Nothobranchius furzeri: one gene and its partners. The protein of the gene in region 1 purifies or fractionates together with the protein of each later gene. This does not show direct contact. Links are inferred from orthologs where the notes say so. Each region holds a gene or a part of one and is shown on either strand. Other genes may lie near its edges.

Region 1 (10,628 bases):
ATATTTACAGCTACACTATGTTTGAATGTTAAGAGGTTTGAAATAATTGTTTGAAGCTAGCTAGTTTTGCATATTTTCCATTGTAGTTTTAACATAAATGTGCAAATTATTTTCAATAAAAACAGTTTTAGATGATCATCACTTTGTTTTGTGAATGCTCGCTAAATGGATCAGGCTCAGAATGTCGCATTAAATACAGTCCAAGCTGAAACGTACTCTGTTAAGTTTCTGACTAACAAAATGTGATTTTAAAACACCGAGCATCTTTCATTCTGAAATTCATCAGATTTTTTTAATCATGCTTGAGCAAAGGTCACAGCAGTAGGTTATTTTTCTAGCTGTAGTTACCACAGCGAGTAGTGAGCAACCCTCAGAGACTGTCGTTCTTGTAGTAAAGTTCCCACATATCAATTCTTGTTACTCTAAGGTCACTTAGCAACAGTTTAAAAACAGATATAATCGAACACAGGGAGCCTCTGACCTACTTCTGTATCACTACACACCTCAATCACAACAAAAAGCCTAAAAATAACCTGCAACACTCTAGCTGCTGGGATCGCTCGGGTAGTTTATATTTATCCTCTCAGTAGCAGAAAACTCATTGAAAAACAAACGCAGTCACTGAGATGGTCATTTTAGTCTGGTGTTATTTTACTGCATGCATCAAAAAAAGACCGGGGGGGGGGGGGGGGGGGGGGGCGCTAAAGAGATCGACTTACTTTCCGGGATCTGGGATCTGACTGCAGACAGCCCTCAGACCCTGGAAGCTGTTGCGGATGGCATGGATGTTGGCCATCCCCATGAACATCACCTCACAGTTCGGGTAGTACTCTAAACACAAAAACAACTCAGATGTAGGTCAAACTCTGTAGGATACCAACAGCATTCAGCCCATCTTTAAATTACAGCTGGGGTGACCATCAATCAAGTTTGAAGCACTGGAGATGGTGTTTGAAACTAGAAAACAAAAGTCAACAACTACTTAATTGAAAAGATTTCATAAACGTTTGATCACACTAACCCTCGCATTCACAGCCTCCACCCTTGGCTCTGTTAGCCACTGCAGCAGTGTAGGAGCGAGCGTCAAGGATCAGCAGCTTTTGTGGTACCGAGCTGTCGTCACTACCAGAAACACCTGCCAGAGACGAGTCTGAGGAAAGAGACAGCAGGACAGAAATCAAGAATCAGCAAAGTGATGTGGACACAGACTAAAAACTATATGTAAGCAACTGAAAGTCAATATTTCTTCCTGATGACGACTGCTGGAGGTCTGCTAATATTGTTGTTGGACTGATGGTGAGTGATTGCTCACTGAACACTCTGCACATGTGTCTGAAAAAGTCTTAAACCGCTTTCAGCTCTTCACACTTTGACATGTGGTGTCATTGCCAAAAAGTGAAAATCGCATTAAAAAAGGATGTGGGGTTGTTTGTGACCAGATCTCATTCTGAAACTTTCCATAACCCGAACAGATTTCTTTTCTAACACCGCAGATCGTCAACAAAAGGACCAAAAATACAAAATGATAAATAAATGCTCTAGTAAAAACTGGTGATGCTGCTGAATGAGACTAAAAGAAATAAACAAATTCAAAATAAAGAAAATGGAACACATTTTGACTTCTATTAATGAAACAGATAAATAAAAATAGAATGTGGCTTCTGCTTCAATAAAGTAAACGCACAGACCGAGTGTTTTCTGCTAAAATGTTTATGTTTTAGTGGGTTAAAGCAGCTTATTTTTGCTGCCTGTCTTAATGCCTATTTCTGAAAATTTCTTCTTTGCCTTCATGCAACATCGAATCAAAGCTTAAAGCAATACTTAAGCATTTTAAACAGTTTAAGTTATTGCTTTCTAACTAGTGTCAGTGGTTCTTGAGGACTTGAGCAGCTTCACATTGAGCAGCCCTCTGCAGCACTCTGCTGACCAGAAACTGCACTTCACAGTTTTGTGGTTCAGGTCGGTACCAGTGGAAAGCGCTCTACCGGCTTTATAGCAGTAGCTGTTTAGTGTGCTGGTAGCTAATATGACTAGCAGTTCGCTTTTTCAGTTCCTCGACTGTCAACATCATGACTGAGCGTGGAAGTATAAGTAAGCAAGTGATGTTTTTGTAGGCAAAGCAAAGACATAAAACCAGAGTGAACATTAGCGTGGCCTACACTCACTCGAAGCTGAAGAAGGCTATGAAATCACAGACTGATTGTGACCTGGCTTTGTTGCTACTGGACTTTTAAGTAATATTATTGTGGCTTATTTAGTATCAGGTGGTTCATGTTAGTGTAGGCCCATTAGCACGGTCTACGACAGGTTCATGACAGCTGTAATTCTGCTTTCAACCAGTAGGAGGGAAAAGCAGAACATGTATTTGGTAATGCTTTAAACATGTTGCGTAAGACTGTTGGGTAGGATTTTGTTAGTGAATTAAACTGGCACTTGGCTGTGGTTTTTAACCTTTTATTATTTATTCCTGAACTGCTTGTTTTAAAGTCATGTTTTTTGCTTGCCTGTAGCCCTTTGAGATCTCCTGCTATAAAGGGCGCTGTAAATTAAATTCATTATTAAATCAGAAACCATTATATTTAAAAAATGGAGACAATATATTAAGCTTTAATTATTTACTCGTGATGCACAAACTCCAGACACGAGGTCTTCATGTAAGAATGGGATGTGTAAAACAGTATTAAAACCTCAGCTGAAAAAGGTTTTTGAATTTTCACAGCTGGATTTGGAAGAAAATCCCGTGTTTTTAAATAGCACTCAAAATAAAAGATAGCTTCCGATCTGAGCCCAAACCAGCTGATGACATCCTGCCGGGAACAGTGGCGGTGTAGGTACCGGATCTGCTCGGGCTGCCAGACTGGCTTAGGGCATTGCGCTTGCCAATGATGTCACAGTATAGACACACCAACCGGCTTTCACGCATACATTTTTGAAAAAGTTTAGTAGTTTTGTTAATAAATTCTTGTTTCTTATTGCCTAAATGTTTTTATAGCTGTAATTTGTTAATAAATCATATTGTCTTTATTTTGTAAATTATGTGAAACTACACAAAAGGCACAAGAGTCCTTATAGGTGAAAATTTTTAAATGTATTTATTTAATTAGAATCCATTTCCATTTGTATAAATGTGGAATTTCTTCTGTATATTTGACAATTCTGATGTAAATATAGAAATCCATTAATTCAAAATGTTTGCCACTTGTTCAATAAAGTTATTTTATTTTAATTTGGCCCGTTACATCAAAACCAAGAGCTGCTGAAGGTCTTAGTTTATCAGTTGATATTTTGTTTTAAATTTTACATTTCCTTTGGCAATACAAACATTTTCCCTGAAGTGTTTGGACCAATCAAAATTTGCTGCGTCAACGTGGTACCGTACCTTCCGTAAGTCCTACGTTCAGCCAATTAAACATTAGTCAGATGCAGCTTCTGAAACCTCTGATAGTCAGTCACTTTTTTCCCTTTTGGATACAACGATGAGACGTTTAACCAAATTCCGACCAGCTGGAGGTGCAGACGTGTTTGAGACTGACTCAGAAGGCCGGCAAGTCAATATGGACACCAAGGGGAATTCTGTACATCTTCAGAAATTGGTACCATTTGTTTACTTTGTTGAATGTTAAATTTTCTCGTAGTGCTTCTACCGGGAGCTTGCTGCTGATGAGTTCTTAGATGACTATAGGTCTTAGCTCCATCATACTGTCCCAATAGGGAGCCTAAGTCTCCTCTCTTTCTGGTCGGCTCAGGGGTCCCCAGAAGAACGAAAAAATTAGGGATGTCCCGATCCGATCACATGATCGGAAATCTGCCCCGAACACGTGGTTTCAGACTGATCGGGACTTGGGCTTTACTTCCCGATTCAAGCCCCGATCCGGAGTTGGATGCTGGGTTCAAATTACAGGAGAGCAACTTGGTTCTCCTTAAAGGTTGCCAGGCTCCCCTGATGCCCTTAACTTACACACCCAGAAGGAGCACAGAAAAGATCCAGTTTCTACCTTTATTATATTATTTATATGGACTCAGCGTAGCGGGGATCCTTTTGAGCAGAGCAGCAGGCAGACCGCTGATTATTCATGAACTCCAGCTGCGTTCTGCACACGGCCACAGTAACATTTTCTAAGTTTCTAAGTGGCGTCACCAAAAATATATAATTAACACACAGTCGTTCGTGTCCGTTCATTTTCTCTCTGGTAAGTTCCGTCTGTATTTGAGCATGACGTGTGGACGCGCTCGCGCTGCAGCACTCGTCACTGGCGCAGCCGGGCAGCGCAGAACACACTCCGCTTTTTTTGCGGTCAATAGATCAACTTGATCGGCTAGTTAAAAAGTTACTTGTGAAGTGAAAAAGAAGGAAGCAGGCAGGAGTTTTTCTGGAGGACTGGGAGATGCAGGAAGATCAGAGACAGACAGGACAGGAAGATAGAAAAATAAAAACCAAGAAAACAAAACAAAGTTCTTAACAAAATAAAATGTAGGTAGATTTATCCCACTACACGTTTGTATCTATATAAAGCAATAATCTATCAGCATGTAGTATTTATATAGTTGATACGATTCAGATCATCTTCAAAACTCCGACCCATGCCCAGGGACGTATCTAAGCATTTTGGGGGCCGAGGCAAAATAGACCCCTGCCAGGTATTTTAAGTTGAAGTGCTATCTGTTGTTATGTTAGACTTTTTATATTTGTAATAAAGACCAAAAGTGAAGAATTTATGTTATTTGTTACTTGATTGTTCAAGCTACCTCACAGAAGTGATCTGTTGTTAAAATAAAAATGTAATTAAATAAAAAATAAGGAACATTCTGGAACTGTTTCTTCCGTTTCTTTATTTTTTATTATGTATCGAAAGTATCGGATCGGGACTCGGTATCGACAGATTCTCAAAATCAAATGACTCGGACTCGAGGGCAAAAAAAACCTGATCGGGACATCCCTAGAAAAACATTAATGCAAGTCAATGGGGCTAAAAGAGCTATTTTCTGGATCACACATATGTTATACCTCTTTAAATGAAAAGTAATGACGGGTGTTTTGACCACGTCAGTGACATACTTTGAGATTGATCAGCTTGTAAAAGTTTAAATCTCTTCTCCCCCAGCGTAGCTGCTACTTGGTGGTTGGTTCTTTCCTCCTGAAGGAAGGATCTGAAGTTCACTGATCTCACAGCCATTTTCCCTCTGTTTTTCTCTCTGTTTGGTTTGATGATGTCACTTTTGTGAAGCGTATTTGTAGTCCTAACCTAAAATGGCATTTCCCCCTGTTCAAAAATAAGCGCTTTCTTGGTATCAACATGCGTCTTTAAAATTCACGAACATCATATGTGAAATCCATGGCACATAACAAGCGGAATTAGAAAATTGCCTTTCAGCCCCTTGCATTCCTTTTTTGTTCTCCTGGGGAACCAGGGTCCGGAAGTAGACGGGCGTAACTTAGGCTCTCTAAATAATCCAATAACCTCCAGAACAATAAAACAATGAGCTGCCAGTATTACCACTGTGTATATACTGATATAACTCCATACATATATATTTTTAATATTCAGTCGACATCTTACCAGAATATTTTTTTGAGGTGCATATGGTAAAGTGTAGTTACACTGAATTTCAACAGTTTTCATGCAGAGTCTGACCAATATCTTAAGAACAGCAACTTTACCAAAATCACTGTCAGAAGGGTCTGGGGCGTCCCCTCGCTGTCGGTTGACTGTTGTTCCTTTGGCTCCGGTGTCCATGTGACATGCCTTAGCTATGGACGTGACCAGGTACTCATCATCTGTGTTTCTCCAGCCCCACCAGCTGATCTCAGGCTGGCTGCAACGAGCAATCACGGCTCCATTCTTTTGGTGCCTGAAAAACAAGCTAGATTCAATTCTAAGATCCATACTACAAAAGGCTGATGCTCAGCCCACCATGAGTCTGGAAACCGCACCTGTAGACCACCACAGGTATCCTCTTCCAGGACCTGAAGGAAGCCACACTCTCCAGCTCCTTATCTGTGATCCATATTGGAACCAGAAGCTTCTGCGGGTAGCTGGAACACAACCTAGTGGAGAAGGTGAGAGTTTATTTTTAATGCTGCTCTGACAGAAAACCAATCTCCGCATCACTGCCACTCCATCTGTCTCTGATCTCCTCAGTAACTCTCCCATGATACATCTTCAGTTCCTATTCACCTGCTGAGAGACGGGCTGTGTGAGGAAAGTAAAACATTAAGCTGAGTCATGGACCTCAGCAGGTGGCTGTTTGTGTAATTAGTCAGTTGTCCTGTGTGTCCGTCTCTCTCAGCAGGATGTGATCTTCAGGAAGACTGACCTTTTTATTGCAGGATCACAAAGGAGACACGATGCACCGACTGAATTATCTGTTTATGCTTAGTCTTTGGAAACGGTTGTGTTACTACTAGGGATGTAAGAAAATATCGATATGGCAATATATCGTGATATTTTTTCCTGCTATTATTACATCGATATTCAAAAGCCGTGTATCTAATTCTTGAAAAAACTAACATGCAAACATTTGTTTATTTTCTTTTCGTTTTGTGCAATTCAATTGCCACCCGCTAGTTGGCAGCAGTGTGCAATGGGTTTTGTTTCCACCATTGAAATGTAAAACCCTCCATCATGGTTCAGATACCTCATGTTAAACATGTTACGTATCAGTTTGGACTGTTTATTGAACATTCTTACAAAAAATTCAGTAAAAAAAAAAATGCTTGTAACGTCTGACTGAATGTATCGCAATATATCGTGATACATCGTATCGTCTCACCTGTATCATGATATGTATCGTATTGCCAGAATTTCACCAATACACATCCCTGGTTACTACTACTACTAATAATAATAATTGTTTTTATTTTTAATCTAATTATTCAACACAGTTGGTTGTTTTATATTGTTACTTCCTCAGGAAAAACACCCCCTAAGTGGTTTGTGGCTTCATGCATGCATTTTTCTGTCTAAGCTGCAAATCGTCTCGCCTGCCTAGCAAGCTGGTTGGGAGGGGGGCTGAGTTGGACATGATGGCATGATTCTGTTGTCTCTGGGTCTGCAGTTGTGTACTATATTGTGTAGAAGTAATGCATCTCGAAAATAACTAATATTTCATCAAAAATTACAACTCAATAGTACCAACGGTAATATTTTATCATATGATGTGCCTACCATTGCTCTGGAAGGTGTAAAATAGCATGATACAGCCCCTGTAACGGCTAGAGTCATCTCCGTTTGTCAACACAAATCTCATGAACCACTGGAGGGATTACAAAGAAACTCTCAGACAGTAATCTTTGGATGTACCTCTACAATGAAGGAACTTTCAGATTGTCTTTGACAATAGGCAATTGCTTACTGATAAATAACCAAGGATTAAACACCTGACCTGATCAAGTACACGTGTTCATAAAGAGTGAAACAGCTTCAGCTGAAAGGACATTCTACCGATGATTAATCACAAACTTTTCTTCACACAATCTCCTGTGTTTAGAGTTTAGATCACACACACACAAAAAAAAGAGATGGACAATATATCGGCATCAATATCTGTATCGGCCGATGTTAGTCATTGTTTAACATATCGATATGGGTTTGATAAATAAAGCCAGGCCGATATTAACAGATATTTTTTATATCTTGTCTCCATTTGTTTGCCTGTTTCAGAGGGTGAGGTGTAATTGTTTAGACATGTGAACAGTGAATGAATCATCGCAGAACCATAAATGTGTGTGTTGTGTGTACATAATAATGTAAATTCAGCTTTAATCATTTTCATTCTGTACAAAATCTGCTGATTTTAGAAGAATTTATGTCAGCAGCGGCCCAAAAATTTCATATCTATCACAAAAAAATAAAATAAAATAAAAAAAAAGCACAAAAGGACATTTTGCAACTGTTAGCGGCAGCGCAGCTTAAGTACTTTATACCATTACTCTGTTAATGTGACATACTTGTAGTTGCAGTTGATGTCAGACACCCTCCAGACATTTTGTGTGTCGAAGCCCATTCTCCTGACCTCCATTTCCATTCTGTAGCGCACGTGATCGCCTGCTCGGACAGAAAACAATTGGTTTATTAAAAAAATAAAATAAAAACAGGTAGCTCAACATCATCGTGTTGTGGGATGCAAACCTGGGCGACACAGATGAACATGCTGGTCTTCGTCATCTACATTGCCTCCAAGACACCACGCATGATAGGCCAGGGCAAATAAGTCCTCTAACCGAGACGGGTGGGCTATAGCCCGGTTCAGACGCTTCACCCACTCCTGGCACTGCTTGAATGTTGCAAAGTGGCATCTGTAAAAATTATTACATTTAAAGACATCCATAATAAACATAGACCTGCAGAGCTACAGCACCAAAAGCATCTCAAGTCTAGCCTGGCCAGCCAAACTCGTCCTCTGTTTATTTCTACACAGATAACTAGTCTGGATACTCAAGAGCCAGAGAGGCACATGAGGGGTGGGACGAGCCAGCTCAAAAATAACCAGTCAAAAAAAAAAGGCGGATATGCTGACTGTACTGTAGTTTTCTTTTAGCTGTAGTCAAAAATGGCGTCTGGCAATGATGCAAACATTTTTCTTTAGAAAAACGATTTTTAGTACTTCTTGTTGTGGTGGTTTTAAAGACATGTTCAAGTCATTTAGAACAGAGGAAAGAGCCGCAGTAAACGCCGCTTCAGTCTTCGTTGTTTATGAGAAACCCAGCGTTGCGGTGTGTGTGTGTGTGTGTGTGTGTGTGTACGCTGCTCAGCACTGATTGGCTCGGTTGGAATTCTTAGGTGGTGAGGTTATTTGAATAGAAGAGTTCTCAGACCCATTCCCATAAGGAAGTATGGGACTGGCTGTTCAGACTGTCTAAAGTCCCCACTGTTTATACAACTTTACAGATAATTATACTAATTTCTCCCTTAAACCCTTTTTAGTTTAATGTACATTTTCTTCCATATGTTCTGGGAAAAATTAGGAGTCACAGTGAAATCTAATAAAAAATACACCAATAAAAACGACTACACTGAACTTAAACTTGTCAAGTTTATTATAGCGACATCTAATGGCCCAAACTGTAACCTGCAAACAAGGTAAAGCCTTCTAATGAGCTCAAAAACAGTTTGCTGCAAGTTGCATTCATGCATTCTTTGTTACTTACAGACTATAATAGTAAACAACATGACAGCGAGAGAAAGGTGAGTAGAAGTGTTGTAGGATGCAAGATGCCATTTCTACAGTGACAGTAAAGCAGAAATTCTCATTTTTACACAGTCAAACATGAATAAAACCATTCACCTTTAATTCTGTACAGAGAAACTTGCAATTTTCTTTTGGCATCTGATTAATTATGAAACTAAAAGGGACACAAATGAAATGTCTTATGGTGATGTTGCAGTAAATAACAAGAAGATAAAGTAAATACTAAAATAAATTCTTATTCCGAGTATCAAAACTACGCAATAAGCTCAGCTGAAGCGTTGGTCTTGGTTGAAAGCTTTGGTCTTTCTGGGAGTTTCTGTGGATAACAGACTTGCTGCAACTGGAACTATTTTAGATGGTGGAAAGAACCATCAGTCATCAGAACCACACTGCCTTTCTCGGATTTGTTTATTTTTAGTCTGAGATAGAATGACAACTGATAGAAAGCATTGATCCTTACAAGAGTATAACAAACAGAAATGAACTTCAGTAACCGTGGTTTCACTGCTGTCACAGATTTTCTCTGTTCGGCTCCACTTTGTACTGGGAGAGGTAAAAATAAAGGTTCTGCAGATACCTCCTAAAGTTTTTTTTTTTAGAAATCTGTATATTGTTGATCAGCTACTTGTCATGAAGGCAACACTTTTTGACACTTAACATCTTTTTATTAGCAAACAGGAGCTGAATCATTTTCACCCAGGAGGGGGCGGGGCTATTGCGCAGGGCCAAGATATTGAATTAAAACCATCGACATACATACATTAAAACTAATAAGAGTTTCTAAAGATATTCTTGTATAAAATATTTAGAAGTAAAGCTTGGTGAACTGTGGTAAATTACTTAAGAAAATTGAATTTTTGCACTGTATATGAAAATAAACACCAAAATCAATAAACCTAGCTCCTCTTCCCACCTGACAACTTTCGAGTCTTTGCAGATTATGTGCAGCTGGAACATATCCCTGCTTTCCACACTTTCTATCAGTCTGAGCGGCACCTGTAGAGGGAGACAGAGAGCATTCATAATCAGCATGATGATCTGCTGACACAGCAGAAAGCACATCTGAGACCATCACCCTCCAGTCCAGCACAGCACAGTCTGCGTCCCGACTAGCTACACAAAGGGAGACTTTAAACACAGTTTGAAAGGAGAATACCCCTCTTGGCCTCTTATGAGCCTAAATCACAGCTCTAAATTTAATGCATTCTCTTGTTTTTGCAAAGACTGACACACTTTTGGACCCATATTCATTTGCAGCATCTTTATAATTGCCATTTCTCTGGGTAACCCCAGTTCAACAATCAGAAAACTAAGTCATTGTCACATTCCTGCTTAATAATAGTGACATGCTTGTTAACCATGTAGTGAAGAGGAGCTGAAGCACAATGCCGTCTGGACTGTGGTAGAGTGTGATGTTTAATCACCGGGTACTCACAGAA
Region 2 (11,408 bases), on another chromosome or scaffold:
ATAAAACAGTGTTCTTTTCAGAAGCTATTTATAGAGAAATGGTCACAAAAACAAACCCTGCACAGATAATAGAGAATGCATTAAGGACAATAGCTAATAAATGAGCACAAAAAGATGCTGCCTATATAAACACTGTTAAAAGCACAAGTTAGTAATATGACCTGTACTGGGTGATGCCACTGGTTTGTAAACACAATGGTTGAAAATGCCTTTGGCTTTTATTGTGGCTGTGCCTTCCACAGAGCGTTTCATTTGTTCTCACTTTTCCTTTCATTTGAAACAAACTGATAAAAAATAAAGTTTACTAAACTTCTGTCTCTCTTTTATTGAAATTTCTATTTTTATTATTTTTCCTGGTAATCTATTTTACATAATTTACAAACAGGCTGAAGTTTTAGCAGTAAAAGTCACACGGGTCTGGGCTTTGGTCTTTTACTGTTGACTCGTTATAGAAGTTTTGATAAGATGGGTGAAATGACACACAATGTTAAAGGTGTGGTTCACTGAAAAAAACATTGTTATGGAAAAACTTATGTTTATTAATTCATGATCATGGACTCAACCAACTGAATGTAAATGTATTGCTCTATGCCTCTCTGCATGCTCACTCATTCAGACACACCCACACAAGCCACTCACACACACACACACACACACACACACACACACACACACACACACACACACACACACACACACACACATTCTTGACTTCCCGCAAACACACACACAATCCCTCTATAAATAAACTCTGTAACCGGATGTTCTGTGCATTATGCTTCAAGCATCTTGCCACGGTTATAATTGTTTGACTTGTTGTTCATTGTCTCCTCTCTTCACTACAGGAAATGGGTTATTGATAAACATATTGATAAAATCGGTGACAAATATTTTCAATGATTATTTCTGATTATAATGGTCACTGAGAGTTTTTCATCCAGGCTGACCATGAAATAGGCTCCTACACCTTTCTCCTGCATTATCATTCTGGAACTGCGCTGCTCTGGGTGGCTGCATGTTGGAGTAGCTCTGTTGACTATATCTTAGAGGATTTTTACTGCAATTTTTTCACTTTTTTCACTTTTTGAGCATTTGTTGTGATGCGTAAACCACGGTAACAAGCTGGTTTACAATCGGGAGCAGCTGATTAACATTGGAAAGGTTGAAATAATACCTCAACTGAAGCCACAAATCCCAAATGAGCTAAAACGCAAGAAGCGTGGGTGCAGAGCGGGAGCAAAACGGAGACAGAGAAAGCGGAAATTCAAACCATCTCTTCCATCGATCATAATGGGCAATGATAAATCAGGTGCTGTCAGCATCAGAAGCAGGGACCTGAAAAGGCTCAACAGCCTAATAAAAAAGGCTGTTTCTGTTTTGGGGATGACTGTGGAACAACTGGAGGAGATAATGCAAAGAAGGATTCTCCAGAGAATCAAGAAAATTATGGACAACCCTGAGCATTCTCTTCACAAGACTGTCTGACAACGGAAGAGTGTCTTCAGTCAGAGTCTTCAATTTCGCTGCAACACTGACCGCTACTGGAGATCCTTCCTGCCAACAGCCATTGTAATATACAATAACTCTTTGACGACTTTATTATTATTATTATTATTATTATTATTATTATTATTATTATGAGCTACTACAGCAATCAATTTCCCTCTGGGATCAATAAAGTATTTTTGAATTGAATTGAATTGAATTAGCTTCTGAGAGAAAGCAGACGGTGAAACTCTAGGATTTGAAAATCCTGACACATCTACGTCACACTTTCACTTAATGTTCATGGACTCGCCCATATTGACTCGTGACAGGGGAAGGCTGTTGTTGGTTTAACGTCCAGGAATCAGCAGACAACATCCCGAAAGCTAACTGTTAGCATTAGCAACTCCACCACACAGCAGAACTCCTCTAGGCTTGTGTCCTTGTGGAGATAAAACATCCACGTTGCAAATGCAGTAAGTGCTAGAGTCACTTTATGTTAACCAACCAGAGGCAAAATGTCCAAATATCAGTGTTGTGATTATTAGTCAACGAATAATTTGTAGGCTTTTACTTACTTTTTGGATTCTTCAATAAAATTCGTAAATATGGAAATAGTTACCGATTTTATTACGTAATTAGGATATCCGGAGATATCCTCGGGGCACCACCGCTTTAACAGGGGAACAATGAATCCAAAACCTCTTATCAGTCTGTCTTAAAGTTAGTAAAATTCATTTACGAGCAGCAGTCATAAATTCATATCACACAAACAAATTCAGTTGAGACAAAACTGAATTGGCAAAACATTTATTAACTAATACAATCACTACAGCTCCTTCTGAAGCGTTTAGCCAATCAATATTAACCAACTTATTTTATCAAACAAACACAAACAATGAAACAATGAAATGATAATGTAAAACAATCTGACCCAATAAGTGTGTGTTTTAGTCATGTCCCCTACCAACACTAAAACATGTATGTGTGTGTGTGTGTGTGTGTTCATCTTTCAACAGTGATGTGAGCAAACTTTCATGCACAGTAAAACTTAACAAACTTCAAAACCGCTTCACAAAGATCAATAAACAAAACAAAAGATCACTCAAAGGCAAATTAAATATCTAAATATTTATTTTATGCTGTGGCCACAGCTCAAAACCTTAGATATTACAATGAAAGAAGCAAAACGGCTTACTCTTAAGATGATCCGATGGCGTTTTTGGTACGATGTAGAGCCCGGTGCTACTTTAAAGCAAATCGCGCGGTTTGATTGCTTGTTCTGAACTATGTTAGAGAAGCGGAAGAGAAAGAGAGAGAGTTAAAACTTTGAACGAACGAACAGCGAGGCGTCCCTCAGTGTTCAATCGGCATTCTCCATTGCTTCCAGTAGCTCGGTGTTCCATCCACTTCAGCAGCTAGGTCTCGTGCACATGCTGTCCAGAGCCGCAGCAAACGAGTGCGTCTTCATGCCAGTTGAACTGGAACAAAAGACAGATAAGTTTCGTTCTGTCTCCCTTTTATAGACTCGGCTGTCCGGCGGGAGGAAGCTGTGGGTTCCGGGGTTCGGCTCCGCTTTGGTGACGTCATCACGCTGCTTCCGGGTGCAAAGGCTCATGGGACATGAAGTTGTTGCTGGCGCTGATTTTTAATATCTGCTTTTTCAGAGCGCAGATGACACAGTCTTTTGGAGAAATTACTGCATAGTAATTTCCTCATGAGGGCAGACCCTCAACATTAGGAAATAAGACTCCAAATCCTGCTGTCTGCTACCACTTTCTGCAGCAGCAGATTTGTCTGTGCTGATCCAAGCCATTCTGGGATTTTTTTGCCCCATTTGCAAGGCATTCATACCAGAGACCACTGCAAATGTATTGATTAAACAAGTTTCCCACGCCTTTAAAATGGCTACGTTTTGAATGAATGTAAAGGAATTCTTGTGGTTCTTTTGCAAGAATAACGATTTAAAGTGAAATTATTTCCCTTTGGTTTAGAATCAAATCAATTTCATTACATTTTCTTTATGTTTCATTTAACTTTTTCAAATTTGTAACCAGTGTTTCAATGTCCTTTATCCACGTACTGCAAGCCATGCATAGAATCAAATTGTCTTTTATATGTTCAGGACATACAGGTGAATCAATACAGTGTTTTTCTCTCATCTTTGTGGTACAGGAAAAACAACATTTAAAAGTAAAAGTATATAAAGATAAGATTATATAGAAATATGAGAAAAGTAAATGTATTGATTTTCATTGACAGTATAAAAGTTTTATTGGAAAGAAAATAGCATGCTGGAAAATAGTGCTGAAGAACAGAGCTGTTGCAGTATGTCAATATTTGTATTTAAGTTGCACCCAGTGACCTTGGGTGTTCTGAAAGGCGCTTTTAAATAAAATGTATTATTATTATTATTATTAAACACGTCTGTTTATAATTTCCCTGAGCTGGAGAAAAAAAGGTAAAAAAAAAAAAGAAATAGATAGTTAATAAGACAATCTGATTATTTTACAATTTACTTAATAGTGAATAAATGAAACTTTAATCCTTTAAGGTCCCAATGAGTATAAAATGAAAAGCTGGAGGAAATTATCACACCATATTTAGTTACATTGGATCTTTAATCCCAACACGGATTAGAATACAAATATCATACACTATTTCTCTTTTCAACAGATCATTTTTCCTGTCCTTGGTCCCTGGCAAACATTACAAACAAATGCATAGTGCTAGCATCATTTGAATATTTAAAACAGTCCCTACAGTCTTTTTAGGTCATTCATTATTATAAAGTGAAAACTAAAAGTTTGCATTCTCCACATAACTTTTAGATTTCACCATCACTTTTGAAGACAGACATTTTGATTAATTTTATTCTATATTTACATATCTTTGGCTGAAATATGTATTCTAAATGTGGCAAGCATGTTGTTCTGATTTAGGAAAAAACATCCTTTGTCCTGGTTTTGCTAACGCTTTACTTTATGTAGGTGAAAAATTAAAGAGCTCACAGCACCCTTGAGATTCCAGTGAGCCAAAACTGTGGAAGAAAAGAAGATGAAACATGGAGGGAGGTAACCTACTCTACTTTCTTTGTGCCCCTCTGCAGAGGACGTTCAGCTCTCTGCAAAATCCTGTGTAATAAACTAAATGTGTGTAAATGTTGACCCATACAAGCACAGACAAGCTTACTTCATTTAGTTTTCCCTACAGCATCTTCTGTGTGTTGCCATGGAAACACATGGCAGCAGAAGAGAAGGATGAATGTGCAAAAATGGAACAGACACATATAAGCCAGCAATCTCCACACATCACCCACCAGTCGGACTAAAGCCTGAAGACCATTTATAAACAAACACACAAAGTGAAAAAACAAAAAACTGTAAAACACACATATTTTAAAGAGTGTGTGCATAGTAAATAGTCCCTATATTAAACATCCCCCCTTATAACAAAGTCAAATCAGCCACTAGCTGTGCACTCTTACTTTTTGTTTTAATAACTATGGGAGGCTTCAACAGAAAATGATTCCCTGGAAAAAGTGTTGTGGACTGAAATTTTTATTTTAAGATGATGTTACCTATTTAATGATTAGACATTTATAAAGTTAATTCTAGACCATCATGACAATAATCTATTTATGATCTCATTATTTACAGCTGTGAATCCGTGCTGTGTCATATGAAGTGCTTATTGTGTGATTGGTCTGAAAAAAGTGCTTTCTCAAGGAACAATAATTGTGAATTTGTCCACTGCTGCCACCCAGTGGAATATGTGTGAAAGTGAATTAAACTATCAATAATGTAATTTTTTGCAACATCATGATTTTCTCAATTTACCTTTTAACTGTAGAAATACACAATTTAATAGTTCTGTGCCGATATCGTTTTTGCAAACATGCTTTTATTACTCAAAACGTTTGTGCATTTCGTCTTATTTTATTTCAATTTTCGTTTTTATTTTGACCACACTGTCGTTTCACTGTTTTATCCAGTTTAATAATATGATTACATGTTAAAATTAAATCCTTCTTGGATTCTGGATGACGATAAAATCAAGTAAAATCTAACACTAGTCTACATTTACCATCAGCCTTTGCGTTAAGGAAACGCAAGACGTCATTGAGCCAATCACGATGTTAGAACTTTATTTCAACCCCGTTGATTGGCTAGTTTTGCATTTTTCTTCCCACAATGCTTTGCGTAGAATTCAAATCAAGTGGACCAATGAGAAAGCGCCGTGGCGACAGAGCGAGCATTTAACTTAATACTAGAAACTGTTTTCGAAGGGCAGAACAGAACACAGGAGACGCCGCCGTCGGACACGTCTGCTGAATTATTCCATGAGGAAAGCAGATTTATTTTAATATTTATGTCTATATATGTCGTTTTATAATTGTAGAACCTAATGTTAATTATCGCTTGCTTTCAGGAAGTCTAAACTCGTGATTAGATTTAAATTCAGACGTGTATGGGAGAAAGTTAGCTAGCTAGGCTAAAGTAACGTCGGTTGTGTTAGGGTTAGTAGTTTGATTCTTGTAGTTTTCACCACGTTTACTGCGCGGAGAGAAAATAAACATTCCTGTAAGTTCATAGAAGACAGCTCTAATACAAAATGAGTGCTGGTACCGCAAAGCCGTTGGAACGTGCGGATCCCAAATCGGCACCTCTCAAAGAAATCCCAGAAATTCTCGTTGATTCCCGAACCATGAAAAGATACACGAGGGGGAGATTCCTCGGGAAGGGTGGTTTCGCCAAATGCTACGAGATCACAGATGTAGAGACGAAGACGGTGTTTGCTGGCAAGATCGTAGCTAAGTATTTGTTACAAAAGCAGCACCAAAGGGATAAGATGACCTCGGAAATCGCCATACACAAGAGTCTGGATCACGCTAACATCGTCGGCTTCCACGGGTTTTTCGAAGACGATGACCATGTGTTTGTGGTCCTGGAGATCTGCAGGAGAAGGGTGAGTACGATGGAAGGAAACCAGCTTTTCAGTGAGGTTTAGAGCCGACGGTTAAACACTGCGACATCTTCCGTTGTCCTCATGTTTAAATAGTGGGAAGCAAGCAGTACCAGACTCATTTAACACCTCACAACTATTTGATCTTTGATAAAAACATCTTAAAAAGAAACTTCTAGCCTATAAATGTGGGTTTATTGGTCCAGTACCACTCTGGTGGCCCCATGTGTACCATATGTTCAATCTTATAATTAAACGCATAAAAGATCACTCTTTTCTTGAGCTGTTGTCTTGACTGTTTAAAATGCTTTATTTCAGTCCTTGCTGGAGCTGCACAAACGCCGCAAGGCTGTGACGGAGCCTGAAGCTCGCTACTACATGGCCCAGCTGCTGAAGGGTGTCCAGTACCTGCACAACAACAAGGTCATCCACAGAGACCTGAAACTGGGCAATATCTTCCTCAACGACGACATGGATGTCAAAATTGGTACTCCACTTGCTTGGACTTGTAGCTTGCACTAGATCTTTTGTTTTTATCACGTCGAGAAGGATTTGAATCAAAGCATGCCTCGTTATTACGTGTTCTCTCTTGTTTAGGGGACTTTGGCTTGGCGACTAAGATCGAGTTTGAAGGCGAACGAAAGAAGACTTTGTGTGGAACGCCCAACTACATAGCACCAGAAGTGCTTTGTAAAAAGGGCCACAGCTATGAGGTCGATGTCTGGTCACTTGGGTGCATATTGTAAGTACAGGCCCACAAACGCAACTCATTTGAAATGTCCCAGCTGTGAAAGCTTCCCTTTTCTGTTCTTTCAGGTACACTCTGTTGGTGGGCAAGCCCCCGTTTGAGACCTCCTGTTTGAAGGACACCTACAGTCGCATCAAGAAGAACAACTACACCATCCCCTGGGTATGAAAATCAAACTGAATGCACCGTTTTCTTTCTAAAATTAAGTTAATAATTGAGTCGTATGATCTGAACAACCTGCAGCACATCACCCCGACTGCGGCGACTCTGATCAAGAAGATGCTGCACGCCGATCCTGCACAGAGGCCAAGCGTTGCTGAAGTGCAGGCCGATGAGTTCTTTACGTCCGGCTACATCCCCCTCCGTCTGCCCACCACGTGTCTTACTGTACCCCCTCGGTTCTCCATCGCCCCCTCCACAACTGCAGAGCTCAGCCAGCGGCGTCCTCTGACTGCTCTAAACAAGGGTAATGGCGATCAAAATGAAAATCTTTGTTTTTATTTTTCCTAGGCAATGATGTTTGAGTTGATCCACATAGATTTTATTAGTCTTGTTTTAGATGTTAACGTTTTTTTTTTCTTTGTTCCCAGTTGGTACGGAGAAAACGGAGGTGAAAGACGAGCCTATGCAAAGGTGTTTTTCATTTATTTATCACATGACAAACATTTTATAAAAATTCTAGTTCTGTTAGTTTTTATCTTTTCTTTGCGTAGATGTTGTTAACCTTTAAATGTGTGTGTGTGCAGGGCGGCTGAACCATCAGAGCCCTACCTGAAAGACATGCTGCAGCAGCTGAACAGCATCATGTCCACCAAACCCTCTGAAAGGGCCGTCATCCAGCAAGGTTAGTGGACGTGTCTCACTTCGTCTTTACCGATCTTGTGGAGTCTCTGTTGCTATTTCTCTGAATTTTGTCAAAACGGATGCGGTTATCTACTTTTTAATCTACATCTAAGGTTTTTTTGTGTAATTCCAGAGGAGGCCGAGGATCCTGCGTGCATCCCCATCTTCTGGATCAGCAAATGGGTCGACTACTCTGATAAATATGGATTAGGTAAATGTTAGGAGACCGTTTGTTTGTTCACATAAGCTGCAATTTTAACTTTGTAAGTTTGGTTTAGACTATTAAAAGTATATACAGGGTATCTGCAGGTCCATAAAAAGTCTTAAATTAGCTTTTCCAAATTTAAGGCCTTAAAAATCCTTAAAAATGACAAATAGTCCTTAAATAGTTTCCAACGGTCTTAAATTACCAAAGACCCAATAAACAAGATTCTTTTATTTCTATAAAATTTTCATGAATTTCTAGTTAGTTTGGCATTTTTTGTGTATGATATTGGCGTAAGCGGAACCGTACACATTCGGTTGGTTGTGAAAGGGGGCTATTTTTAGATGAGCATGCTAGTGGGAGTTTGCACCATGGGGAAGTGCAACATTAATGGTAAATGGATGGCTAATCCCACGTTCACGACCTGGTTAGCACCGGTTCCAGGCAATAGCTGGAAATTATAGCTTAAATTTAATTTAAAAAAAAAAGAAGCTTAAATTTGGTCAAAGTGGCCTTAAAAAAGGTCTTAAAAAGTCTTAAATCTGGCTCCCTTAAACCTGCAGATACCCTGTATAGATGTTATCTGGTACTGTTAAAAGTATCTTTACAGAGTTTTTAATGTCTGTTCCAGGCTACCAGCTCTGCGACAACAGCGTGGGGGTTCTGTTCAACGATTACACCCGGCTCATCATGTACGCTGACGGAGACAGCCTCCAGTACATCGATAAGACTGCAGCTGAGTCCTACCTCAGCGTTCGCTCTTTCCCCGCTACTCTCAACAAAAAGGTCAGACAGTGTTTTTATTTATTTTTTAATTCCATTTTATCCCCTTCAAGGCCATCACAGTGACTTGTATTTCTCTCTGGCTGTAGATTACGCTGCTGAAATACTTCCGTAACTATATGAGCGAGCACCTCCTGAAAGCTGGGGCCAACATGGCGCGGCGGGAGGGAGATGAGCTGGCACGGCTGCCTTACCTCTCCTTGTGGTTTAGGACGAAAAGCGCCATCGTACTGCACCTCAGCAACGGCACAGTTCAGATCAACTTCTTCCAGGTTAGATGGTTAACCCTTTCACTCAACGCGTGATGCTTCACGTGCGCGATCCCTCATCTTCTATCATTATGTGCTTTTCAGGATCACACCAAGCTGATCTTGTGTCCGCTCATGTCGGCGGTGACCTACATCGACGAGAAGCGAGACTTCCGCACTTACAAGCTGTCTCTTCTGGAGGAGTTCGGCTGCAGTAAGGAGCTGGCTAGCCGCATACGTTACGCCAAGCAGATGGTGGAGAAGCTGCAGGACAGCAAGGCTTCTTCTCCTGCACAATAGTCTAGTTTGTTCCTCAAACCTTCAATCACTTTCCCTTCTAGTCGCAGAACTTTTAATATTACGTGTATTTTTTAAAGCGAAGCAGAGGTTTTCATGTCACACTTACACAATGTGCTCCATCAACCTAAACTTTAATATGCCAACATGTTTTCCTCTTATGTTCACCTTTCATGGACTGCTTAATTATCAACACCAAGACTAATAACGTAGCTTGAAAAGAGCTGTTGAAATGCATCATTTAAGAAGTTGAGGCGTTTGGTTGTAAACCTTTCCTTTTTCCTGTTGTTGTTCTTGTGTTTTAAATCATTCAGGAAGATGTTCGTCTTGTGAGAGATGGACTCTCAACATGCTGTTCATAAAGCACTGGTCTGCTTTTCCAGTCTGTGTGTGCGGAAACTGACCGTGTTAATGTTTTCATCATGTACATTCTTCCTGTTTGTTTGTGTTTGTAACTGTTGGCTAAGCGGGTTGATGGTGAACAAACTTGTACATACTGCTGAGTATTTTAAAGAGGGTAAACCTCTGCTCAAGATGAAATAAAGATTGTTTTTCCAAGTAAAAATAAAAAATTGTTAATTCTCTCAAATCTTTGCATTTTGTTTATTCAAGTCAACAAAGTGCAAAATACTGAGCTAATTTCAGCTCCATTGGAAGCCTAAAGTCATGTCCACGGGTCTCTTACAGTAAAAAAAACACAATCTGGGCCATTATGTTATCTTCTGGTCTTGTTTATGTGCCATAGCTTTAACTTGATCATGTCTGAATTGTGAAGACAGTTTACGGCACAGGTTATTCAGGCTTTGTGTGAAATCACGTAGAGCTGAGGTAGTTCAATTCAATTTTATTTATATAGCGCCAAATCACGACAAGAGTTGTCTCAAGGCATAATAAACATTCCAATACAGGTCAGTTCATTAAGCCAATCAGAAATAATGTTTCCTATATAAGGAACCCAGCAAATTGCATCAAGTCACTGACTAGTGTCAGTGACTTTACAGCAATCCTCATACTAAGCAAGCATAAAGCGACAGTGGAGAGGAAAACTCCCTTAGGTAGTGAACTCTGTTCCCTGAGGGCTGGTGCCCAGCATGTTTTAGTTGTTTCCCTACACAAACACAGTTGATTCACCTGTTCAGCTGCTCATCAAACTCTGGAGAAGCTGTTAAATCACCCGTTGATTAATATCTGGTGTGTTGAAGCAGGGAAACAACTAAAACCTGCTGGATACTGGCCCTTGGGGAAGGGAGTTGACTATCCCTGACAGAGGACTTCAAATGATTGTCTCACCAAATTCTTGCCTTATATATTCACATATATAGGATAGCTTGCCAGGCTATCATCAAACCAGACAAGAGAAGAAAAACGAGTTTAGCAAGCATTGCACCCATTTACAAGTACAACTAATGTGCTTCTGGGTGTAGAGCAAAGCAGACTAGGATAACTTTTACTGCCCCATTCACTTACATTAATTTTATTTTGTCTGAGGAACTCTTGAGTTAACTCAAAGTCAAAGTCAGTTTAATTGTCACTTCTGCCACATGTACAGGACATACAGAGAAATGAAATTACGTTACTCTCAAACTCTCGCTAGATAGAAAATAAACATTTAGTATAAAAACAGTAACCAAGTTCAGAGAGACTGTGGGGGAAGAGAGAGGAGAGTTGGGAGAGCCGGGAGGGAGTTTAGCTTCCTAACTGCCTGATGGATAAAGCTGTCCTTCAGTCTGTTGGTCCTGGCCTTGAGACTCTGCAGTCTCCTCCCTGACGGCAGCAGCTCGAAGAGGCTTTGCATTGGGTGAGTGGGATCAGCCGCAATGTCTGGTAGGGAGGG
Region 3 (10,628 bases), on another chromosome or scaffold:
GGCCTCACAACCACAAACCATGTGGCCACACCAACCCAGGACCTTCATGTCCAGCATGTTCACCTTTAGGATCGCCTAAGACCAGACACACAGACAGCTGCAGCAACAATCAGTTTAAATAACCAGAGAATTTCTGCACAAACTGTCAGAAACCGTCTCAGAGAAGCTCATTGTCGTCATCGGGGTTTGGACCTGACTGCAGTCCGTAGTCGTAACCGACTTGAGTGGGCAAACCCTCACACTCGAAAACATTTGGCGCCTTGGAGAGGCGTTCTGTCCGCAGATGAGTCCTGGGTTTCACTGTATAGGGCAGATGGCAGACTGCGTGTGTAGCGTTGTGTGGGAGAGCGGTTTGCTGATGTCAACGTTGTGGAATGAGTGGCCCATGGTGGCGGTGGGGTACTGGTATGGGCAGGCGTTTGTTATAGACAACAAACACAGGTGAATTTTATTGATGGCATTTTGAATGCACAGAGGTACCGTGATGAGATTGTGAGGCCCATTGTTGTGCCATTCATCCACAACCATCACCTCTTGTTGCAGCATGATAACACATGGCCCCATACTGCAAGGATTTGTACACAATTCCTGGAAGCTGAAAACATCCCAGTAGGGCCGAAACGATTCCTCGAGTACCTCGAATAATTCAAGTACAAAAAAGCCTTGAGTCAAATTCTCTGCCTCGAGGCTTTGTTTAATTCATGTTTAATTAATTCATGGCTTTGTAATCGCCCGGGGTCATGTTTCACCCAGACCGAAATAAGTGACGCACATACACACTGCACTGAATGCACACGCGAGTAGCGAATGTACTTAACTTTCTCTTAAGCCATGGCGGACAACGTGGACCCCGTTGGAGTGCGAAAGACAGAAAATGTCAAAGGCGTGGGGCCATTTTTCACGTCGTAAGGCGGAAAACGTAGTCCAGTGTAAATACTGTAAAATGAATTTAGCCTACCACAACACCACATCCTCGGTGCTGCAGCACCTGACCAGGAAACATTCACATGTAAATGTCACTTCTGCAAGTGGGCTCGGAGCCTCTACAAGATAATGCATTTTAGCCTGTATTTCTATATATTCTGCGGACACTGTGCAACTTTTTCATTTGTAGCGGTTTCAGCTCACACCGTACATCTGGTAGCAACACGTCGGACTTAAAATGTGCTAAAAATAGCAGTTTTTACAACACGTCAGACTTTTTATTGTGTTGTTATTGATGTCTGTTGTCCCTCGGGACTGCTGCAGGAGGACACATGTATTTATGAGGAAAACGAAAGAAAGTAAATAAATGTTTTATGATCAGTATAACTTGACATAATCACGGCAAACATGCTTTCTCGGCGATCCTTGTTATTATGAGAAAAAAAAGTGCAGAAATTAAAACGATCGTATGTTAGGGAAACAGCTGGCGAGCCATGTTTGCGCATGCGCCGTGAGCGGTTCTGGTGCTGTTTGGACCGCAGCCGCTCGCATTTGTTTACAGTGAAGCCGTTCTGGCTGCTCTCGTGACTGCCTGTACCTGTTTTGTCTACATGTGTGTGTTTAACCTTGGTCAGGTTGTGTTGCGGAGTCAAGTTCCTATGCTCTGGGTCGCTGGAGCACTGGCAATAAAGCTTATTCTGATTCTGAAGTAAAGTTGAAGTGCTGAAGTTTTGAAAACTAATTTTGAATAAAACTTGAAGAATAACTGGCAATTGCGTGCTCATTTTAAGAGGTCTTTCATATTTTATAACATGCTATTTGATATAATGGATTACAAACACAAAAGGGTAATTTATTAGAGTACTCGATTACAAAAATATTCAATAGCTGCAGCCCTACATCCCAGTTCTTGCATGGCCAGCATCCTCACCAGACATGTCACCTATTGAGCATGTTTGCGATGCTCTGGATTGGCGTATACAACAGCGTGTTCCAGTTCCTGCCAATATTCAGCAACTTCTCACAGCTATTGAAGTGGAGAGGACCAACGTTCCACAGGCCTCAATCAACAACCTGATCAACTCTATAGAGACGGAGATGTGTTGCTTCGATAAAATTTAACACCATACAACTGTTTGTATTTAAATATTGTGGTGTTGGCTTCCGCTCTGATGGGTCGAATGATGGCTGCCTAAAGCAAACGCTCCCGACTTCATTACTCGTTTTCTCAACCTATCTAACTTGAAACCTAAAAAACACAAACTGAAAGTGTTGGGTATTATTTTTTGGAACAAAAATGCACAGGAAATTCAAGAAAATCGGTTTAAGAGAACGCAGTGAAGTGGAAGAAGATGCTTCGTCACAAGCTAGCAGTAACATGGAGGATGAGCAGCAACCTGGAGCTAATGCTAACGTGAAAGACCACCCCACTACCATGGATATGATACTGAAAGAGTTGCGTGATCTTAGAAAATACACAAATGAGCAGTTTAACGCCATAAGAGAGAAAGTGAACAATGTTGGAAAGCGACTCGATGAAGCAGAGGGTCGCATAGACGGAGTGGAGACTCGAATCCAGTCCTCGGAGGAGCCGCTAATGGAATTAGCAAAACTTCAGATGCGATATGAAACAAAGCTGCTGGACCTGGAGGGCTGCTCACGGCGTGAAGGAAAGGGAAGAGGACACATTCCCATCTGTTGAAAAATGTATAGAAACTCTGTTTGAAAAAATATTGGATCAATCTTCTCCAGCACTAGGGATTGAAAGAGCGCATAGTGCTATCGCCGAGAAACCCTCTGTTGGGGCCCCAACACGCTCATTTGTTTTCAAATTGGCAAGTTATCGTACCAAAGAGGATATACTCAGGAAGGCTTGGCGCGCAAAGGGGGTTGACTTCCAAGGCACCAGGATACATCTAGACAATGATGATGCCCCAGAGATGCAACGAAGAAGAGAATATGCAGCAGCAAAGAAGGTGCTCAAGGAGAATAATATTCACTTCCAATCACCTTTCCCGGCCACATTGTTTGTGATTGCTTACAGAGTAGTGAGGACACGGAGTGTTTTCCCAGCAGTTCGTCTGACTACTATCATAAACTACTGCCAAGGGCAAAACGTCATCCTCTCTGGTGCTTTCACACTGCACAAACGTTACATAAATGTATAAAATTTAGCTTACCTCGACTTTTGTAAAGTGTCTGGTGCCACCCGACAGCATGTGTCATTTGTTTTACAAACTTCCGCGTAACGGACTCCGTAGTTTTCAAAAAGTTTATTTTTAAGTAAATTGTGGCGTGTTTTCCCAAATACTGCTGCAGTCCGAGCAAGGCAGTTTCTTTAAAATATTCCATTTTAGTAGCCATTAGCAGAGCACTGTGCGTTGTTGTGTGCGTCAGCGCCAGAAAATCAACGTTTATCGTCCAGTAGCACGAAAGTCAACAACAAAGGTTCCACCTTACTTGAACTGCAAGCTCTCACTAAACCTCCTGAGAAGAGGTGACCCTGCCAGGACTACAAACCGGAGCAAAGAAGTCCACCAGCCATGGCTCCTTCCTATCTGAGGGGAAGATGTCCGGCCACAGCGTTGTCACATGGGCACGGATGCTGTCTCTGGCAAAGGCCACGATGTTGTATAACACGTGTTTACCTGCACACACACATGGGTTACACACAACACACACACGGGATACACACACACACAGGTGAGAGCGGAACCTGCACATGAACATACATGCAAGAAGAACTTTACTGACCATGGAAGATCTCAAAGTCCTGGATTCCAAGTCCCTTAAAGACCGCCACACATGGTTTATGAACATAGAGGGACTGACACAGCGCTGGGTCTGCTATGCAGTCCACCCTGCCAACCTGAGGGGACACACTGTTAGCTGGACGGGGACACCGGCCGGCAGAGACACAGACTGGGCCCAGTACCTGTACGTGGTCGTTCAGTAGAAAAGCTTGGAGCTTCTTGTACTCGTTAGAGGCGGAGCTTCTGCCACCAAAGGTGAAACTGACCACCCAGCGATGACGGGCCAGTTTGTCCTGTAAATGATGACGGTCACATGAGACCATCATCTGAACACGCGTGTGTAAATCCGCATCTGCGTTGTCCTACCTTGAAGCTGTCAGTGGTCAGCAGTTCCAGATCCGGTAGATGGTTCAGAACCAGGCTGTAGATTTCTTTGGTGTCCAGCGTCTTCAGCCACTGAAGCACAGCACCACCACATCAGTGCTGCAGGAATGTATGCGTAAGGGTACTTCAGTGTGTGCTCTGCCTCTTACCAGTATGCGGTCTTGCTGATCTAGAGCATTGTCCGGTGGGAACAAACCAGTAGCTCCACTGGTCACCTGCAACACACACATCCCCATAACCTGTAACTAGTGGACCACAGCTCTGATGAGGCATGTTGGGCGGTTATCCGTTCAGCTGGTGGACAGGACAGAAGTCTCTCCATCAACCTGAGGACAGTCTTACCTGGAAGCTTTCACAGAGCTGCTGCTGGTCGGTGCAGTCCATCCATCCCACCTTAACCAGACCGTCCTACACAATCCAGAAAGCAACAGTAGCACAAAGTATATGAACCAGTTCCACATCAGTGACAGGCCCTGGCAACAGCAGGAAGCTACCAGAGGAGCGCGCCATGAAACATCTCACCTCTGCTCTGAATGTAATGACTTCCTCCTCAGTAAAAGCTATTATTCAACAGATATGTTGAAATCTGTTACTGCTCATACCACTTCTAATCAGTCTGTTCTGTAAAGAAGTGTCTGTTTTCACTCAGAGTCCCACATGTTAGTAGTCTAGCTGATGCCCCACCAGGCTGCTGTGGGATCAGGCCTTTGGGGGCTTTCTGGCTCCAATATCAAACATTTGTGTCCTTTGGGGTCTTTCTACTTCATTCTCACCAACATTCCAGCAAGTTTCTGCCTTGTCCTGGGCTCCAGACAGTCTGAGGGACACAAACAGGAACGCTTGTCAGAAGTGTTCATGCAGACAGGAGCAGGTTCAGGTGGGGTGTCAGGAGTTACCTCCGGTGTCGAAGCAGAAGGTGATCAGCCAGCTGAGACTGGATGCAAAAGCAGCCTCCAACTCCCTGAACACGTTACCTACAAAAGGTATGGCACCACAGGTGAGACAGCCGAGCCTAATCCTCACACACACACTCACACACACACACACCCTGCCACAGCTGGGTCACACCGGTGGTGATGAACTGCATAGAGAAGCGGACCAGGTCCTCTTTGGTTCTCTCCATGGTGAACTTCTCAGGAGTCTGCAGAAACACAGAGAAGATGCCGTAGAGCCACACCAGCAGGAACATCAGCAGTGCTGCAAATCCCAAACAAAGGGTGGCAGACGGCAGTGGGACACGGCATCTGGGGTTGGATCGGGACCAGGAGACACGTCATCAGTGGATGTATCTGTGGACGAGCTGCCTCTGTCCCTAGTGAGAGGACATTTCCCACAGACGCTGTAACTACCCACAGGTCTGTCCTTTCAGCAGACAATGTGGACAAATAAATGAAGGGTGGATGGAGGAGGAGGCGACTAACCCTCCAACTGTCCCTGCTTTCGGTAACTTATTTCTGTCCTCTGGGCCGCGCTCCAGGGCGGTCCAGAGGACATACCTGTCCTGCTCTGTAGATGTACAGGCTGGGGTAGCTGCTGATGCCCCTCCTCCTGCAGAGGTAGTTGTTGTCTCCACAGTTCACTGCTCCGATCCGGATCACTCCATCCATCTCTTTGGCAAACTCCCTCCACTGGGTCACAAACAATCGAGAAAGACAAGAAAACATGAGCGTCACCTCACACAGACAGAAGCCTTCATGTTTACAAACTGAAGATTTGGACTTTGTTAAGTTCATGCAACGCGTTTGCTTCCACCAGACGTCAGCTGGACCGGGTGGTGTTCATGTTTGAGCTTCAGTACCGTTGGAGCCAGCTGGTGGCAGTGTGAGCATCGTGGGAAATAAAAGTTGATGAACCAGATCTCTCCAGAGTTTACAGCAGCGTCTGAAACACACACAGGTCTCATGCTTTGTTTTTAACCATCACGGGTGACACTGACAAAAAACTAGAATCTGGTGCAAAGGTCCATCTGTCAGTACTCCAGCTCAGACTGCGAGACCATCTAAAGGCCCAGGAACCCTCTGCAGGTGTTCTGGATTCATTAGTCAATCTGTGACTAGAATATTGAATCTTTTCACAATATTCTGACCGTCTGAGGTTTTGAATGTGGGGCTTTCATCAGCTGTACACCATGATCATCACAGTTAGAACAAATAACAGCTGATAAATCACTGCCTGGCCAAAAAAGTCTCCACCTGGGTTTAACTAAGCAAACAGGTAGGGACCTCCTATTGGATAATTACTGCATAGGTGATTATCTCTCTGCTGGAACAAGTTATTTAACCCAACTGGTGCACTGAGCTAGCCCAGAGAACAAGACCAAATTCTTGCTTTGCTAACTTTGGTCTAGGAACGATCCGCTGGAACCTCCGCAGCCTCTAGCGGCATTCTGGCTGTCCAATCACAGCTGTCTAGAGGGGTCTCAACACATAGAGAGCTGTAATTGGTGCATAATGGTGGGCCAATCACAGCTCTTCATCCGCTTTGTGGGCCAATCAGGGCCCTTTATTCATCTGGAGGGCGGGATGATGCAACAGAGTGGGACAAGATGGTGGCAGCTCGTTGGAAACAGCTTTACATCAATGTTGGACTTGGTTTCTATTAGAACCAGGAGCAGATAGATGTATAAGATAAAAGGATGTGTTTTCAACTTCTTCAACTGCGGACCGCCTCGTTTATAGACATCCGTTGCAGTTGTCCACTAGCATGTGGAGACTGAGTGAAAGACAATGTTAGAACCCACCTCACGATGGGGGGGGGGGGGGGGGGTGAAGGTGCATCAGGGTAAGAAGAGAGGCAGATGAAGTGATGCACCCATCATGCCTAGTGCCTACTGTACAAGCCTGTGGGGGCAATGTTATGATCTGGGCTTGCTGCAGGTGGTCAGGTCTAGGTTCAGCAACAGGATGTGCTCTAAGAATGAGGTCAGCTGACTACCTGAACATCCTGAATGACCAGGTTATTCCATCTTCCCTGATGGCACGGCCATATTCCAAGATGACAATGCCAGGATTCATCAGGCTCAGATAGTGAAAGAGTGGTTCAGGGAGCATGAGACGTCATTCTCACACATGGATTGGCCACCACAGAGTCCAGACCTTAACCCCATTGAGAACCTTTGGGATGTGCTGGAGAAGGCTTTGTACAGCGGTCAGACTCCACCGTCATCAGTGGTGATCATGGTAAGACGTTAGCGCAACACTGATGGAGACAAGTCTGGTGACGCCACAGAGAATGTGTGTCGTAATCAAAGCTAAAGGCGGTCCAGCAGAATGTGTGTGACCTCTTTATTGGTGGTGTGTTTGGGCCGGGTGCTGTATTTGGTTTAACATGGAATGAGTGTCTCAGACGTTAGTTTCGCCTTTTAGGTTGAATTACTGACATAAATGAACTTTGCACCATAATTCTCTTCTTTCAGTCTCTCTGACGCTAAAACATGAATCCAGATCTTACCGAAGTCTCCGCTATCCAAAGTGATGATCTCCAGATCGTCGTCGTAAATTCCTGTAAACAGAGCACGTTAAACACCTACGTCCTGGTTGCAGAGCAGATGCTGGTAGCGTCCTACCAAAGTCATATCTGTAGTAGTTCCAGCTCTCGTAACGTCCTCCCTGCTGCTCGTCCAGTCCCTTTTCTCCATATTTATCATATTTCTTTCTCAGGTCCTCGTCTTTCAGAACCTCATAGGCCCGGTTTACTCTCAGGAACTTGTCGTGGGCCAACGGGTCGCCCTAGAACATGTATGTGTTTTAATCAGCAGAAAACATTTGTTGGGGTGAACATTTGAGAGTGACTGACTGGGTTTTTGTCGGGGTGCATGGTGAGCGCCAGCTTCTTGAACGCCTGTCGTATCTCTCTGGTGGTTGCCTCCTTGCTAACTCCCAGCAGGTCGTAGTAGTCTGAGCTGTCCGGCCTGCAGAGCACCGTTACCAGCAGGACGAGGAGCAGCAGCGCGGGCCCAACAGGCCTCACAACCCTGAATCCCATCTCCTGCTCTCCCAGAACAGTTAGAGAACCTGGAACTGGAGAAGAACTTGTATTTGTCAGTCACCACTGCTACAAAACGGTGATGATGAAAAGGAAAAAACCTTTTCTTTCCCATTTCATGACCTGACCAGCAAGAATTTTGATTCCAGTCTCAGTAAAAGTGTGTTCTCTAGACCTGACTGCGTTTGTTTCAGCAGTTTACCTTTGGACGCGCTTCCTCACATTACTGGCATACTGGTTCCATAAAGACCACGTGATGATTAGTCCTAGACCCGCTGTTCCAAAGCAGCCCGGGGATGGACTGAGGTCGAAGGTCAGACTGCCAAGATGGTTCAATTCAATTCAATTCAAGTTTATCTATATAGCGCCAAATCACGACAAGAGTCGTCTCAAGGCACTTCACATAATAAAAATTCCAATTCAGGTCAGTTCATTAAGCCAATCAGAAATAATGTTTCCTATATAAGGAACCCAGCAAATTGCATCAAGTCACTGACTGGTGCGTGTGCTGGGATGGGGGAGGGGTGTCATTTTCTCTCTCTCTCTCTCTCTCTCTCTCTCTCTCTCTCTCTCTCTCTCTCTCTCTCTCTCTCTCTCTCTCTCTCTCTCTCTCTCTCTCTCTCTCTCTCTCTCTCTCTCTCTCATATTATTTATATCCACCAATAATATTAATACTATTTATAGCATGGATTGAAAGGCTTTGAGCCAAAGACGATATCAGACATTTATATGAGTCGTGGAGGATGGCTGCTTATACTGAGCCAGGATCCTCTGGAGGTTTCTTCCTGTTAAAAGGGAGTTTTCCTCTCCACTGTCGCTGCATGCTTGCTTATGTATGCGGATTGCTGTAAAGACTCTGACACTAGTCAGTGACTCGATGCAACCTGCTGGGTTCCTTATTTAGGAAACATTTTACTGATTGGCTTAATGAACTGACCTGTATTAGAATATTTTATTATGTGAAGGTCCTTGAGACAACTCGTCGTGATTTGGCGCTTTATAAATAAACTTCAATTGAATTGAGTGAATAATAATGATGCTGCTGTAAAATTCCACCTCCAGTCCACACCCAGACACAATTATTCTCTCTTCTGTCTCATGAACAGCAGCTGGGATGTTTATGCCCACAACACACTCCTCTGGTTTTGACTTTTTCTTTCTTGTGTTTGCTCCTCATCTATATTTCTGTTTGGATGCCATCTCTTCCACACCTGACTTGGTTGATCAGGTGCTGCATGCCGTTAGTCATTGTGGGAACTTGAACAGCATCATACAGTGGATGGCTGGTATTTACTTGGACACGGACAGAGATGGGTTTTCAGAAATCTCAGAGGTTTTGACTAATAAATGACCGGTTAAACTACCGGTAGTCATCATACCCTGGAAAAAAGGCCCCGGTACTAAAGCACTGGGATGTAGACGTCACACAAGGTCCTCCTATAGAAAGAGAAAACTCCCCCCAAGGATAAAAGTGTTATCACCAGAGGGAGGGGCATCCTTTTTCTTTGATATTACTCATTTGTACATCTTTAATTAAATCAACTACTACATGTTGACTTTCTGAGCTGAATAAACAAATATGTTCTGGTCTGACTGAAGGACCAAAGAGATGTTACTTAGCTCACATTATACAACAGAAGCCCACGACTCATCAGGGGATGGAGAGGAGTACCCACAGTAGTTTCTGCTCGTTAAACAACAACAGACAGCTACAGCTTATAAACTGGACTCTCCCATATTCCAGTCAGAACTGACAAAGCTCCTCGGAGGACAAGAGAAACGTCTTCAAGAAACCAGAGGAGTCCAGCTGCCTTCATCTGAACGCTTGGATCACCATGACCTGGATGAGTGAGAATCTGCACCAGAACACCTCACACTGTTTGTTTTACGTCCTTAAACACATACAAAAGTATCCACTTGTGCTAAGCTAGCGGATCATTTAGCTCTGCAGCTTATACGGCTGACACAACTAAACTGATTATCCTCTAGAGTTCATCTTATTTGTATTCAATCGAACAAAACTGTAGTTCCGTCACCTTTCGTGCGTTTTAACTCCTACACGTCCGAGATCCGTATCAGCGTCCGGCTCTAGCCGGCAACAAGCTAAGCACAACACAGCAAATTGCATCCGGTTATTGGTTTTCAAAATAAAACTCAAACAGCCAAGTAGCTGGTAGATGTGCAAATTAAGCAAAGTCTAGAAACGCGGTTCGTAAAACTGAAACGACTCCGAGCTGGACTAGTGTCAGGAAACAGAGCTAAGTTATGTGATGAGCAAGAGCCTCTAGTCCTCTACGGGCTTGTATGAACCAGAAAGATGCTGCTGGCTTTTATTTTCACAACACACTGACACATTTCAAACTACTTCTGGTGTGTTGATGAGCTTTAAAATTCAGGGTGTAATTATATGACGTGTAGTTGAGCGTGTTCGACAAAGAAGTTACAAAACTAGTGAACTACTCCAAATTGTATGTAATTAATCTGGCATGCCAGGCTAACGAAGCGGGATTTTAATGAAAACGCATTATTTTTTTACCAAACATTTACACTTGAGCACATTCTGCCCAGCACTGTGCTGACATC

What was found.
Region 2: the proteins of mtmr4 (region 1) and plk1 purify together in Homo sapiens (affinity purification with mass spectrometry; 3 studies listed by BioGRID, with this or other methods). This does not show direct contact. The link is inferred for Nothobranchius furzeri from reciprocal best matches to the Homo sapiens genes MTMR4 and PLK1.
Region 3: the proteins of mtmr4 (region 1) and dnajc10 purify together in Homo sapiens (affinity purification with mass spectrometry; 3 studies listed by BioGRID and IntAct, counting the BioPlex papers as one, with this or other methods). This does not show direct contact. The link is inferred for Nothobranchius furzeri from reciprocal best matches to the Homo sapiens genes MTMR4 and DNAJC10.

Annotation. Positions count from the first base shown.
Region 1 is NC_091750.1:66,579,737-66,590,364, reverse strand, and holds part of mtmr4 (phosphatidylinositol-3,5-bisphosphate 3-phosphatase MTMR4), read right to left. Parts: coding exon 10,625-10,628; intron 10,186-10,624; coding exon 10,103-10,185; intron 8,297-10,102; coding exon 8,130-8,296; intron 8,046-8,129; coding exon 7,949-8,045; intron 6,047-7,948; coding exon 5,933-6,046; intron 5,851-5,932; coding exon 5,660-5,850; intron 1,151-5,659; coding exon 1,022-1,150; intron 832-1,021; coding exon 720-831; intron 1-719. UniProt on the Homo sapiens protein: Lipid phosphatase that specifically dephosphorylates the D-3 position of phosphatidylinositol 3-phosphate and phosphatidylinositol 3,5-bisphosphate, generating phosphatidylinositol and phosphatidylinositol 5-phosphate.
Region 2 is NC_091744.1:8,882,004-8,893,411, forward strand, and holds plk1 (serine/threonine-protein kinase PLK1), read left to right. Parts: upstream 1-5,919; 5' UTR 5,920-6,099; coding exon 6,100-6,453; intron 6,454-6,768; coding exon 6,769-6,937; intron 6,938-7,047; coding exon 7,048-7,192; intron 7,193-7,266; coding exon 7,267-7,360; intron 7,361-7,441; coding exon 7,442-7,664; intron 7,665-7,788; coding exon 7,789-7,831; intron 7,832-7,944; coding exon 7,945-8,042; intron 8,043-8,174; coding exon 8,175-8,252; intron 8,253-8,877; coding exon 8,878-9,032; intron 9,033-9,118; coding exon 9,119-9,301; intron 9,302-9,382; coding exon 9,383-9,577; 3' UTR 9,578-10,163; downstream 10,164-11,408. UniProt on the Homo sapiens protein: Serine/threonine-protein kinase that performs several important functions throughout M phase of the cell cycle, including the regulation of centrosome maturation and spindle assembly, the removal of cohesins from chromosome arms, the inactivation of anaphase-promoting complex/cyclosome (APC/C) inhibitors, and the regulation of mitotic exit and cytokinesis.
Region 3 is NC_091754.1:38,659,306-38,669,933, reverse strand, and holds the start of dnajc10 (dnaJ homolog subfamily C member 10), read right to left. Parts: upstream 10,185-10,628; 5' UTR 10,082-10,184; intron 9,894-10,081; coding exon of another isoform or gene 9,881-9,893; exon of another isoform or gene 9,671-9,880; intron 8,081-9,670; 5' UTR 8,046-8,080; coding exon 7,857-8,045; intron 7,790-7,856; coding exon 7,627-7,789; intron 7,563-7,626; coding exon 7,512-7,562; intron 5,943-7,511; coding exon 5,860-5,942; intron 5,690-5,859; coding exon 5,558-5,689; intron 5,203-5,557; coding exon 5,109-5,202; intron 5,036-5,108; coding exon 4,958-5,035; intron 4,879-4,957; coding exon 4,835-4,878; intron 4,470-4,834; coding exon 4,404-4,469; intron 4,277-4,403; coding exon 4,211-4,276; intron 4,134-4,210; coding exon 4,044-4,133; intron 3,971-4,043; coding exon 3,860-3,970; intron 3,794-3,859; coding exon 3,679-3,793; intron 3,573-3,678; coding exon 3,445-3,572; intron 1-3,444. UniProt on the Homo sapiens protein: Endoplasmic reticulum disulfide reductase involved both in the correct folding of proteins and degradation of misfolded proteins.